Linked DNA regions of Mytilus edulis. The protein of the gene in region 2 purifies or fractionates together with the protein of the main gene of each other region. This does not show direct contact. Links are inferred from orthologs where the notes say so. Each region holds a gene or a part of one and is shown on either strand. Other genes may lie near its edges.

What was found.
Region 1: the proteins of U2 snRNP-associated SURP motif-containing protein-like (region 2) and calcium homeostasis endoplasmic reticulum protein-like purify together in Homo sapiens (affinity purification with mass spectrometry; 4 studies listed by BioGRID and IntAct, with this or other methods). This does not show direct contact. The link is inferred for Mytilus edulis from reciprocal best matches to the Homo sapiens genes U2SURP and CHERP.

Annotation. Positions count from the first base shown.
Region 1 is NC_092344.1:19,672,788-19,680,640, forward strand, and holds the start of calcium homeostasis endoplasmic reticulum protein-like, read right to left. Parts: upstream 3,034-7,853; 5' UTR 2,945-3,033; coding exon 2,917-2,944; intron 1,090-2,916; coding exon 937-1,089; intron 1-936. Other genes in the region: MAP kinase-interacting serine/threonine-protein kinase 1-like, read left to right, coding at 3,229-3,267, 4,704-4,899, 5,137-5,234, 5,432-5,690, 6,005-6,260, 6,494-6,793, 7,146-7,473. UniProt on the Homo sapiens protein: Involved in calcium homeostasis, growth and proliferation.
Region 2 is NC_092346.1:87,102,694-87,109,924, reverse strand, and holds the start of U2 snRNP-associated SURP motif-containing protein-like, read left to right. Parts: upstream 1-4,202; 5' UTR 4,203-4,253; coding exon 4,254-4,316; intron 4,317-7,231.

The DNA.
Region 1 (7,853 bases), on a different chromosome or scaffold from region 2:
TCTTTAACCGACTATCACATAAAAAAAATGATATTTTTATTGTATTCTATTTTCTTTTAAATATGAACACAACTTCTAAGAAAACTATTAATTTATATTAAAGTCAAATGCTATTTACTCTAAAAATGTTTTTAGTCTTATAATATCATTTGCATATTTTTTAATATTTCCCTTTTTACTAATTCTAGATGTTTTCATACTCCCTCTGAGATGACACCCTTAGAGTGAAATCAACAAGTAATTAAGAGAGGTGTCAATATCAATAGATTAATTAACAAATTATGTCTATCATGGTGTGAAAATTATTTCCAATTATATATCTCAAATAAACAAGGCTTTGTTTTTCATGTTATCAAAGGATTAACCCATATTTTTGTCTGACCTTTATCAATTCGATAATTCTCATGAGAGATCAAATAATTAAACTAATGCAATCTTCAAAAGATTTCTGATCTCTTCAAATAAATGCATAAAGAGGAAGTCCTAGGGGGAATTAAAATGGACTAAGAATATAACAAAAAGAGTTCTTTCACCTGTTATATAACTTTTCCTAAACCTGTGAAAAATAATAAAGTTCTTTGATCTATGCGATCTACAGTTTTAATTCTAACAGTTTTGGATTAACAAAACAAAACAAAAGATATTTATTAATAATTCTATGTTTAATTATACAAAAATACATTGACTTCATTATAAATTATGTATCTGGAATAAAATTCTAGAAAGACCTGTTCAATTTGTTGTTTTGGCATTTGACATCAAACTGTTCTATAAATAATGTTGAGTTTTTTTAAAATTTGCATTCAGTCAGTTTTCTTTGAGAAAATATATATTTTACTGATTGTTCTATGACAGATTTAACAAATTGATAAGTTCTTATTCAAGAGACTTTTTCTAATAACAACACAATTGCTCTTAACCTATGTATCAACTTACCTTTAAATTTATAATAGTTATAGTGTTCTCCACCAAAAAGAAAAGAGAATTTAGGATTGTCTTTTTGTTTCTGTTTTGTCATCTGTTCAAATTCGGGTCCATTTCGAGCAACAAAGCTTGCCAATTTGTCTATAATATTTTTTAATTCAAGTTCTGAAAGGAAAAAAATAGTCATTAAATAAAAATGTTAAAAACAATGGTATTGTTGAAAACATCTGGTAAAACTCCTCAACTTTAAAATCACAAAATGAAACGAAAGTTTTTCATCCTTTAGGAAACTGAGGATTATTAAAATTTCTTATGATTTATAGTTTCAATTAGAAGACATTTGAGACTTTGGTTAGAAGGTATTAAACATATTCCAATAATATTTGAAGATAAATGAGAATAGAAGCTGAATGAACTGTGACCAAACTAACAAAACTAAATTACACATTTCCAATAGATTAAAATAAAAAGGATGTGCAATGCCATTGTAATCTGAGAAAAATTCCATATACATTTTTACATGTACATGTATAAAGGGTTTAGGATCAGAGAAAAAAAATCCAAAACTGTACTGCAGTGTACTGATATAATAAAGTCCATGCCAAAACACAAGAAATTGAATTGCAATGAATATTTTACTGATATATAAATAACATTTATTAATTCATATAGACTGTAATTGATTAATTATTGAATTTTGCACTATAAATTTGTGTTTTCAGTGATTCAAAATATAGTTACAATTACAAGTGAGCACAAATAAACAAAATATTTTAAAACAAGAATGTGTCAATAGTACAAGGATGCCCCACTCACACTATCATTTTTTATGTTCAGTGGAATAAGAAATTGGGGTAAAAACTCTAATTTGGCATTAAAATTAGAAGGATCATATCATAGGGAACATTTGTACAAAGTTTCAAGTTGATTGAAGCAATTAATCCTTTATATTTGATATACATTTTGTAAGAAAGGAAAATAGGGAGACACACAAGTACATTATCTTTTGCGAAGGTTTAGGTGTCTCAATCTGACAAAAAGAAGAGTGTTTGCTTCAGTGTTCTATGTTTTAATTTATTGAAAGCTAAAGGATTCAAATTTTGTCAGTTAAGGATTATGGTCCCTTGTGTTGATTAAATGCTAAACATATGGAAATTTTATAGAAAATCCACAGCATTTATCCTTGTACCATCATATTTGGCAATGTCATGACTGAAAGATATAAGATTATTGCATGCAGTGACAGCATTGATTTCCTTAAAATGAGTTTATTAATGTAGCTATTGGTTAAAACAAATTAAAATATGGACCAAATCAAGTTCACCTTTTAGGGTACATTTGACTTTAGTGACTCGGACAGCACGAGGTATTTTGGAATTTGCAGGTTGATTAGAACTTTTTGTAAAAAATAAACACCAGCACATCATAGAAAAGCAAGTGCGTAATCTATGTTTCAAATTTTATAACAAAAATCTCTGTATTAAAGGCTGTGGATTTTCTATAAAAATCTTGGATTATTTGCCATAAAGTACTCTTTTTCTATTAAATGCAATGAAACAATAAATAATAATGCTTTGCATCAAGTTTCCCCTCTTTTATTCATTACATCTGTAGTTTTGATACAATTGAAGTTTGAAATATTCGTACAAAAATGGCTACAGAAGGGGTCATAAACCTTAATCATGTTATCTCCCCAAACATTGAAACAGTAAGCAAAATACTAAACTGACCATATCAATGATCACAACACATATACCTGACTAAGAAAAACCTCCATACTAACCATAAATGAACCCCAAAAAGGTCGAAAATTTAGACATGACAGCAACTTTAGACTAACAGTAACAAACCCTTGAGTAAGACAGTGTTTACCTTTTCAATATCATGATTTATTGAGAATTAAGATAAATACAATTGCACATATCAATATCTGTACAAACAAGCTATTTAACAAACAAAAATTTGCTTCTACAAAACTATACATAAACTTACCGTCAGGATGATTTGGTGGAATATCCATTTTTTTCTACACACAAAACGTGAGAAAAATAAATATTCAATGTTCAAAATTATCTCTCTTTAAATATGCTGAATTATGATTATTAAAACGTTTATAAGACTTAAATTTTACAACTTTTAAAAATCTTATTTTTATATATATATTTTTTGCGTAAGTTAACTTTTTCATTAACTTTTAAACAAAAAGTGATGCTTTCTAGAAATTAATTTCAAAAATTAATTTTCATTATTCTTCCGTAAATCTCCGACTGATTGTTTTGAGAAAATGGTGACAGCGGCGGGAGGATGCTTGAAAGTTCTAATACAAAAAGCGTCATGATAGAAGTAAGTTGCATTGAGATACTAAGAAGGTTTCTTTTAATCATGAATAAAAGATTGATTTTGATTGATATCAAATGCTGTTATTGTATTTAACACCAGAAATTTAGAAATTTGCATTGTTTGTAGGTCACGCCATAGTAAACATGGCCGACATTGTTGTGAGACGGATGTAAACAAAATTGCGTGGAACTGCGTACGTAGACTGGGGTCACATATCGTTGAGTCAACCAGTCAACGTTGAGCCACGTAGCTGTGCTAGTATAAATAGCTTGGCTGACGTAAACTTTTTCAGTCTTGAATGTTTATTGAGAGTGTGTTGAAATGAAAGGGTGATCAAAATTATTCAGGTCTAATGACCATTTACCGGTTTAGAAATATTGGATTTTACAAATTTTGTCGGAATATAATCAGGAAATAATCAGTTTTATTTAAAAAGGAATTTTATCAGCATTTAAAATGATCGATGTAAGTAGAATTATTTTTTGCAATCATTTGTTCTTCCACAATTAAAAACATTGAATATTTTTGCAAAATATTGTTGACTTGGTCTTATTTTCTGAAATTTTACAATTTAATACTCTGGTGTTGCCTCAGGGTGTTTGCAATTATTTTCATGCATAATTCCAGTTCTTCCAGTAGATATTTTTTTTTGTTATTTACATCTATTGTTTATATTAAAATTTATATTTGTCACAAACTATTAACAGTTTTATAGATATTGTCTATTATGTTGATTTCAAATTTACTTTTAATTTCACTGTAATCTTTACATGAAGGCCATGGATATTGATTATGTATGAAATGTAAATATTTTGAAGATGACCCACTTCTTTGTTGACACAATTACATGTTAAGCATAACTGAGTTTTCTAAACAGTAAATGTTTATCAGAAAGCAAAACATTATCATGAATATAGATGATAATTAAATATTTAACTCTTAAAATTTGTCAGAGGTCTGGAATATTCTTAGGTATTTACTGATATTTTGGCGGATTGCCCAAATGGAAAATCCTAAACCATAGAATGACTTAATCAACTAGCATTCTGATTGGCTGGTTTAACAAAGCAGTTCTAATTTTAGATTCCTTAGCTCAACTACTTAAAATATACTTTACCAGTAAATTTGGCTTTTATAAATAAACTTTTATGATGCAACTGTTACTATTGCAATGATTTGGTGAAATCCATTTCATTTTGAAAAACCAATAGAGTAGGAATGGATTTGTGAATGTCTTGTCAGTATGGTGAAAGGGTTTACAACAGAGGAGTATGATTTTCAATGCTCAGTTGAAGAAGGTATTTTTGAAGTGTTTATTTCTGAACATGTAAATTGAACCTATTATCTGATTTTCATATTATATTGATGATTGGGATTTAGTTTGGTAGAACTTAAAGATATGAATGAAATTTTATTGTGAATGTATCATTTTATTTCAGATCGACCAAAAGTCAAAGTATTGCTCACAATCACCACCACGACCAGAAAGTTTAATGTTCGAAAGTATAATGACAAACTTGGATATGGAATTGGCAGACTCGGAAAACAACAACGGCCCATGCTCTATGAATATCAGAACAAGAAATAAAAAGAAAAAAAGGAGGGCTGCTGACAACTCTGTTAAAAAATTTGAAGGTAACTTTTTTATTTGTTTTCTTGCAGTTGAAGTGAGAAGGTTCATGGTATTTTTGGGAAAACACAACTTGAAAAGTTTAATAATATTTGTGGGTTAATTCAATGTGAAACACTAATGAAGATGTCATGACCTTTTAATAAGTTTTTATTATTGAACAATGTAATGATATTGTTCATTACTGTTTGTATATGTATTTATGGTATGAATCAATCATTTAATATTCTTCTTTTTAACAGATCTGTATACAGCAACTGGAGAAATTCTTGGAAATGGAGCATGTGCTGCTGTTAAAACCTACAAAAAAAACACAACGAACAAAGAATATGCTGTTAAGGTAATTTCAAAATATATATTTTTATTATCAATGAAACAAATAACACATTTTTGTGATGACCAGTGATAAGTAGAAACTATGAATTTTGTATAAATACAGTTGAATATTACAAAAATTAAAAATATGAATATAAATAAACAATACCTACATGTATCAAGAAAGTTAAAAATGTTATATGAAATCATTTTATTTTGCAGGTTATTGAAAAAGATTTTACCAGATCAAGAAATAAGGTTTTTAAAGAGATAGAGATTTTCAGTATTTGTCAAGGCCAGGATAATATTTTACAACTATTTGAATACTTTGAAGAAGAGGACAGATTTTATTTGGTATTTGAAAAGATGAAAGGCGGAACATTACTTGCCAATATTGAAAGAAGAGGCCACCTATGTGAGAGAGAGGCTGCACTTGTAGTCAAACAGATAGCCATAGCTTTGAACTTTCTTCACCAAAAAGGTAAATATATATATAAAAAAAATAATTATACTTCAGTGTGGAAGTGTCCTAGTTTTCCAGCATTTATCTTAAATTAATGTCTCTTAATAGATTGACATTTATTTGAAGAAAAAAAATGTTATTTTAGTTACTTTGTTGTAAAGATACCTATTGGCATAAAAAGCAAAGAAGAAAAAAAACCATACATTATACATTTTGCAGTAGGAGCATCAAATTTCATGATTGTTTTTAGCATATTCTGTATATAATGATAATCTACAAAGGAACATTTTTCCAAGCACAAATTAATATGATCTTATTTATTATTTTTTAAGGCATTGCACACAGAGATCTCAAACCAGATAATATTTTATGCGAGAGAACTGATGAAGTAGTCCCAATACGTATCTGTGACTTTGATTTGGCTAGTGGGGTACCAGGTAGCCAGACAGAAGACAATTGTACAACACCAGAACTTCTTACACCTGTAGGTTCTGTCGAGTACATGGCACCAGAAGTTGTTGATGCTTGGGTTGGAGAATCATTCTCATATGATAAGAAATGTGACCTGTGGAGCTTAGGAATTATATTGTAAGTTCTTTACTATTTTGGTTTTAAAAAAAAGAAAAAAATAGCAAAATTTTCAGGTGTTAATTTATCCAGATGAATCTTTTCAATGTGTTCCTTCGTAATTTTCTTGTTGAATAGCATAGACTCAAAACTTTCATTTACATAATTTAGAAAGATGATATTGATTAGTGCTTAAATATTGCTAAATAGTGAAATTCAAAATGAGTAACCTAGAAATGAATTTTGTGTTTCAGGTATATTATGTTATGTGGTTATCCTCCATTCTATGGACAATGTGGTGGTGACTGTGGCTGGGAAAGAGGTGAAGCCTGTCAGTCATGTCAAGAGACCTTGTTCACTAGAATTCAGGATGGCATGTTTGAATTCCCTGACAATGAATGGGGAGATGTATCCAACGATGTCAAAGATCTCATTCAGAAATTACTAGTCCGTGAACCCAGGAAGAGGCTGACAGCTTTGGAGGTTCTACAACATCCATGGATCACATGTCCTGCAGCACCTACCCCATTGGCTACTCCTGGTATTCTTACAAGGTATGCTTTATTTTACTACAAGTCGTGTACATTTCCATATTAAGAACTGTATGTTGGTGGGATGTAATAAAACGTAATTTCCTGTATACATCAGATAAAGTATGTGACCACTTGATGCTTTTCCTGTTTACATTGTTAACAATGTAATGTCTTGTTTTTTACACTATAACTGTTACATTAAATTGAGACGGAAATATGACTGTTGAAGCAAATAAATTTACACTAGTGTTTGATAAGCTTGAAATAAGCATCATTTCTTTAAAGTCTTACTTTGCATGACATTTAATTTTGTTTAAGATGAAAACATGAAAGCTTTTATCTGTTATACATTGGACTCTTATTTATATTGCAGAAACAACAGTACAAAAGATCTGGAATGTTTTGCTGGAGAAGCAGTCTCAATCAACAGAATGATGCAGCAACATCTTTTGATTTCGGAGCCTCCCAATTTCTTTATTGGTGGGAGGGACGATTTTGACTGTGATGCATATGAAAGTGGTGATGATGATGACAAGTTTAATATACCAAGTTTCAAACTGTCTCCACCAAGTTCAGGACTGGCTAAAAGACGTACAATGGCCAGGAAACCAAACAATTTAAGTGAAATTACTGAGGACAGTAGCGACAGTGGTTGTTCATTGCCAAGCTCTCATTCATCTAGTTGTGGCATAAGTATCTGAGACAAAGACCAAACTCATTTGATATCAGTTATTGTTCTGGTTGTGTTATTTTTTGAGTGCTTAACTTGACAGATTTTATACATGTATTGAATGTGTGTGCTATTTTGTATTTTGTCCATTGTAAGAATGTGTTGTGTATAAAAGTGTCGAGTATGGATGTAGGATTTGGTACATTATATATCATGTAAATACCACCTACAAAAAAAATAAAAACAACACGATCTTGTAGTGGAAATCCATTTTTATAAAGAAAGAAATTTTATTTTTCCACAATGATAAGTATGTCATGTTAATCTAAAATAAAGGGAGATAAATCCTATCAATACTTATTTCTATGTATGTTTGTGTATAGAAGATCAATAATATTTTGTTGAAAGGTT
Region 2 (7,231 bases):
TACACTGTAAAAACAGCGTTTAGATTTGAAACGGATCTACAACATGTTTAGGTCTAAACGTGTTTAGGAAAGCGTTTAGGATCTAAACAGATTTTTATCTAAACACATAAAAACCTAAACGTGTTTAGAATTTAAACGTGTTGCAGGGTTATTATCAGTGAATGTTATCATTAAGCTAAACATTAAATGGCATCTAAACACTTCTGAAACACTTTTCTAAACACCTAAACACTTTACAATATTTCAGTACTGGTTTCACCTTTTTACCCGATGTTCCTACATATTCCAGCATATTCTGTGAAACTATGATATCGTGGCTGTCTTGAAATTAAAATTATTTTCAAACTTCAGTCCCAAGTTTGCGGAGCTTCTTTATTTATGAGAACAAATCATATCATCTTCCCCAAGTGAGTTTCCCTTTTTTGTGTTGTAAGATTATTGAATTACTTTGGGTTTTTTTATAAGTTGAGCAATTAGTTGTTTATACCAGGGACATATGAAATAATCTTTTATAGTATTTATAAGGAAGATATGAGTGAATATATTTTCTCTAATTTCCGGAGTCGTTGTCCGAATATGATCTTATATTAATTAACGAACAGAGTTATCTATCGTGGTAATTTGATACGGACGCCTTCGGACCCGCCAAAGACAAACAACATTTTAAAACAATGGATCACATCTATCAAGTATATATATCTATTGGCGATGCAACAGATACAGAACTTCATATTAGAATATTGACGGAATCAAAAGCCATCTTAACAGTTATTACAGCAGCGGAAGGTAAGCAGATCCAGATTTCGTAAAAAGGGGGAGGGGCACAAACCATAATTTAACAGACTAATAAAAGGCATATGTTCGTTAAACTGTTAACCTATGCTATTTCAAGTTCACTATTGTGGTATGAATATACACGCATAATCAGTCGGAGGGACCAAGCATAAAATAAGAATGAGCTAATTCAGAAATTTAAAATGAGATTGAATAGTCTAAACTGTCACTGACACTGTACATATGATAATGTCATACAATCATAGTTTCAAATATTTTAACTTTGCAAGGAATAAGATCACAGTGGCCCTTATTGCAACATCCTTTACACAAACACTGAAATTATAGTTTCACTTCATTTGTCAAAGAGAAACAAAGAACCAAACATCCAAAAGGACATTCAAACTCATTACTCGAAAATAAACTGACATTCAAACTCCAATGTCAGAAATAAACTGTCAAGTTGTTCTTTTTCATATAAACCTATAATAATTATTTGTATGTATGCATTTATAGGACTGGGACACTGTACATGTAGTGGGAATGAAAAGAGCTAGAATTAATCCATATTATAGATCAAATTGAAGAACAGATCAGAAAGAAAGCAACGAAGAAAGAAAAGGATGACTTAATTTCAAGAGCAGATGTAAGTAAAAATATATAAGTATATTATTAAGTTGCCAATAGAAATATAATATGATTGAAAAATGGAGGTTAAATCATCCTCTAATATTTATCCTGTTGAATAGGTAAAAAAATGGGCAATTAATTTAAAAAAAAATATATTCATAATAAATAAATTAAAAAAATAGGAAAAACAGGCTTTAGTTCTCAGAAATCAAGGATTTTGTTTTATAGGATAAGAGAATATAAAAAAAAACTTGCATGCTTGTTTGCTCTATATATTGTTCCCTTTGATTTGCTTGTCTTTCGATGTTTAAATTTGTACAAGGTGTAAAGTATAGCCTTTTTAACTACAATTTGCATTTTTCTTTTGTAAGAATCTTTTTCAAGAAGCTTGTTTAATGTATTTTAATAAACATGATCTAAGAATAAGTGACTGTTGCATACAAATGTACATGAAGGTTTCATTTTTTCATTTCAGGATACAAAAGTTCACTTGACAACCAAAAGGAACTGCACACCAAGAGCCTTTATCATTCAAAAGAAGATTGTTCCGCAATGAAAAATTCCTGTATGATAGGAGATGGACTGACAATTTCTGTTTTGTTGAGGATAAAAATCATCAAATTTTATAATTTTATTTTTTGTTTGCATTTAGTGAGACTTAAAAATAAATTATTGAAATAATTTGAATAGATTGTATGTTATGTTTAAGACTAGATCAGAAAAAAACAAAAACAAAAGAACCAGACTCCAAGTTGTATAAAAAGGTGGAAGGTCCATAAAACGTATAAAAAATCAAACACTTGACTACATAAACAATCAAAAGGAACGAAAAAAAAAGTCATATTCCTGACTTGGTACAGGCTTTTCCTTAAAAAATAATGGAGGGTTAAACTTTGTCTAATTGTTTACAGACTTTTCAAAACTTGGTCTTATTGTTTACGGACTTTTCTTAACTTGGTCCTATTGTTTACAAACTTTTCTTTGGTCTCCAGGAAGAATAAAATGTGTAAACCTATTATTGTTAATATTATTATTATCATTATTGAAGTTTTCAAGCTAATATGATATTATTATGTAAGTATTTCTGTATTGACGCAGTTGTCATTTACTGATATAGACAAGTCATGGTAAAATTCATTGCAAGAACATTTAGCAGAAATGTACACGTGCATTGTATATTCTACAATACCGTGTGGACTATTCAACCTGTAGTGCTGTACCACAAGAAGTTCCTGTGAAATCATAGTACTAGTAGGCTAACCGTTGGTAGGTCTAAACACCATATATTTCTAAACATATAACATCTAAACACTTGTTGAAATCTAAACACTTGTTAAAATCTAAACATGTTTAGATGCTAAACGCGTTTCAAAACGTACACAGAAGAAGTGTTTAGATAAGTGTTTAGGATCTAAACACTGTTTTTACAGTGTATGGGGTCATTCGTCCAAATGTTAGCAGCTCAGTGTGGAGCGAAAAGAATCGATGCTATGTCTCTTTTTATTAACTGTGTTGTTCATTTGTATTTCTTTATCTAAAGGAGTATTTGTGATTTTTTAACATTAATCAAATTATGATAGACTAGTACATAGTTCATTTGGTACATAGATTCTACAGCTAAATTTAGTCATAATCATCCGACTTAAAGAGATGGAAGTTTTCACATATACAACCGTTTTTCATATAAGCTTGCATAACCTTTATAAACAAAACTCAATGTTCACTGTAGTATTTCTCCATATTAACTGGATTTTTATTCACAACAATATATATATGCTAAGTGGTCTCTCTCGTCTTGTGCAGCAAGCTATAATATATGTATGCTCTAAATATCAATATACTGAAAGTGTAACAAATATGCTACAAACAAACTTATTTGTTAATTTCTATGTCATCATGGTCATTTGGTCTCTTGTGGAGAGTTGTCTCATTGGCAATCATACCACTTCTTCTATTTTATATTTACTGGCCATCATTACAAGAAAGAAGACTTAAAAAACGATTAAATATGTTCAATGGAATCACGGCACCAACAACAAAATGTTCATACCATATTACTGTTATACTAATTATTAATTTAAGCAAAGCAAACACGAACAAACATTACGACAAATTCGATGCTGCAAAGAAGCGTTACAAATTTTCATTTTTCTGCTGCAAACTATTAAAGAATATGGAATACATGAGGGTCTGTAAACATTTAATTTTCACCCCTTTTTTTCTCTAATCTTTAAAAATTAACCCCTTTTTTCTCTAACCTTCAAAAAATTAACCCCTTTTTTCTCTAATCTTCATTTTTTTTTGCCCATTATTCTGTAATCTTCATTTTTTAAGGGTATTATTCTTTAATTATTTAATTCCATCCAAACCCTCATACATTACCTGAACCGCAATAGTCTGCAGCACCAGTACTTCAGTGATCTTCAGTGCTTCGGGGACACACTCACCAGAGAAATTCTCATTGACTCTAACAAATACCTACATGCATATCCTGTATCTTGTTATACCAAAAATAAAAAATAAAAATTGGAAGTTTAACTGACATTATCAATGATTATTAAATATAGAAACAGTGCAAAATAATTATGAAATTAGAAAAATAGATTTTTAATTAAAAACAAATAAACTTGTTAAACCAAGCATGTGCCAAAAATACGTCATCAACCCGTTGGTGTTCTTTCGATTTAAACGAAGTATTGAGCAAACTCTAATAATCAATATATCTCATGAAATTATAAAAAAAAAATAAAGAGAGTAGTGAATCAAGATGAAACACGTGTCGGTGATATGTCCGGAAAATACTCCGAGATTGTACCGAATTTTATTTATCATCAATGTGAGGAACCAAAATGGCGGAGAAAAATTTACCTTGGGGTTTGAAAAATGACAAAATTACCCCTGGTTCAGTTAAGGTGACTAGTTTATGTCATATACCTCATTTATAAAGCACACTTGGTATTGTCCACCTTTAAGGACTGGTCATAAAATGAAAGCGTTATCTTGTCTTGCACATGATCTCATTCTGATATAATTTCACATACTCAAGCATAATCATAAACAGATAAACATAGTCTGGGAAAATATTGTCTTTTTGCGACATAACAGTAAAAATCCTGCAATCAAGAATTCAAACATTAATCTGTGTTTATGAAACCTGCTTAGGGGTATAATGTCTATATAAAACAAGTCTTGTCAAAACTGTAAATACATTATATAGCCTAATCAATGTCACCATAATTGCCGTTGGTATCAAGAAATAATTGAGACAAGATCTTCTTCTTCTTCTTTTGGTTTCTAGCGATCCTTCAATTATTGAAGATTATTCGCCGGGCGTCGACTATAAAATTTATAATTTACACTAATTTAGCAACAAAAAATCAAAAATAACAAAATCAAAAAATCAACATAATCTGTGAAAGATAAACAATTTAACAACAAAAATGACATCAAAGGGAATGAACTGGAATTTTTATGAAGTGGTGGCAACAACTTTATCCAACGCAACCGCACAACCATACTGTGAATAAACACATTTTATTCCACATGTTCCAAGAAAAAACGGTCTCACTAATTAGCGACAAAAAGAATTATTTTAGGGACATGAAACGACAAGAAAGCAAATTTTTTTTTTATTAAAATTACTTATTCCCAAATAAATATTAAAAGAATATGCAAAAGAAAGCAATTTTAGCGACAAGAAAGTTAAAATTGATAGAAAAGAAATTCAAACATTTATTTACATGATATTTTATCATTTATTATGCACAACAGTATAGTGTTTTAGAACAATAACATATTTAACTTATAATTTGTTTTTAAAACTCTATTTGTACAATATATGATAAACTTGCAAAATGCATTATTTGTGCATCTTTGTCCAGAAAATACATACACAAATTGTGAAATCAAACGAGAGAAAAAGAAAATTAAAATGTGAATATTTTTCATTATTTTATTTTGTGTATTGCCTCATTAAACGATATTTATCATGTTTAGGCCGAGAAAAAAAAAATCGATGTTACGGTAACCCGACCGACCCTGTTTTTTAGCCCCGACCCTAACTTTTTTATTGGATCTTCAAAAAAAAAAAAAAAAATTGTATCAACCGACCCCGTTTTTGACACAGGATTCTGATAGATGACATAATATTTTTTCTCTCTTGCTTCTACTTGCATAGAAAGCCAGTAAAACATTTTATTAATGTCAAAAGGTATTCCAAATAGGTTAAAATCCAAGAAATTTGCACAGCAGGTGCTTCAAAAACATTGCAAATGGCACACTTCCGGTTTTTGAAACTAATTACGGATCCGGACTTGGAAAAACCATGATAATTTTCCGGATTTCATTTACGATGTCCAAAAAAAAAAAAAAAAAAAAAAAAAGAAGTATTCCGACCCTATTTTTCAAAATGATGTTACCGGAAACACATATCTTTTTTTTTTAGGCCTTATGCATATTGATTGAAGATTAAAGGAAAATAATGACAATCTTGAGTTTTCAACAGGTGTTCACTATTTACAATGATTGTATTCGGGCGCATGTAATTGTATAGTCTGACCGTGTACAAAGTTGAAGGTGTTATTGTAGCAATAAAACAAGGAACACGTGCCTTGTTATTCTCAGGTGATGTTCTGCATTGTGTGTACTGTTATTACTGCCATATTTTATGTTGTTCCTATCAACATGATCAAGAATAATGAATTATACTGTTAGAAAGGAAACAATATATCAAAGAAAAGTTGAGAAAATCTTTGTTTTTATTTCCCTTTTAAAGCGTGTGCATACATTATATTTAACATATTCTTTATATTTAATAAAAAAAAAACCTACACAATCCCTTTCTTCCTAACAAATGTTTAATTTCTTCATCTATCAATATAATAATATAGACTACACAATCCCTTTCATCTCACAAATGTTTAGTTTATTCATCTATCAATATAATAAAAAAAAATATCAATTTATTCCTTCGCTAAATAGTCTTCTTGTCGCTAAAACTTCTTCTTAACGCTTCTTGTCGCTTCTTGACGCTAGTTGTCACTAATAAGTGAGACCCAGAAAAAAGGGGCATTTTAATCTGTCTATTGACCATGAAGGATTGGAATCAACCAGCATAAGTTACATGTACATCGTATGAAGAAAACAAATTATGTTTAACTATAATTTGAATATTTTTAACATGTTTAATCAAATTACTCCCCGCATGCAACAGTTCGTAATATTAAATGAAGCTGAAACTGTAATAACTGTTTGTATACCAGAAGGAGATCAGTCCAGAGCTGCTTTTTTTTCAATTTGCACAACAAAAATGTTGCAATTAAAAATCATTAATGGCAAAAGAAGTACTGTACATCATTGTACATGCTATACTTATACTTGTACATGCTATACTTGTATTTAAAACTTTTCACCTTTTTCCATCTTGTTATTTTTTTGGGCGGGTTCTCTAAATTGTTTTTCCCCTTGTCAAACAATACTGTGATTTCTCCTTGGACTCATCACAATTTTGGCAGAAAATCTGTAATCAGCTAAATTCATTTAATAGCCATGATAGCTATGGGCAACAATAGACTTATTGCTAAAGGTGTTCATTGTATTGGTTAACAAAATAGTGTGGTTGAATAGCACTACATTTTTACATGTCATTTAAAGAATTTGTTTATAACTTTAATTTGATAGAAATTATTGTTTTGAAGTGGGTACTTCTGACACAAGAATTTTAACTACGCTCATGTTTGAAGCATAGTTGTATGACTCAACTTTTTCTTTAAAGTAGTGACATAGTACATATTTTTAAGATGTAAATATGTTAATTGTATAGTAGAGA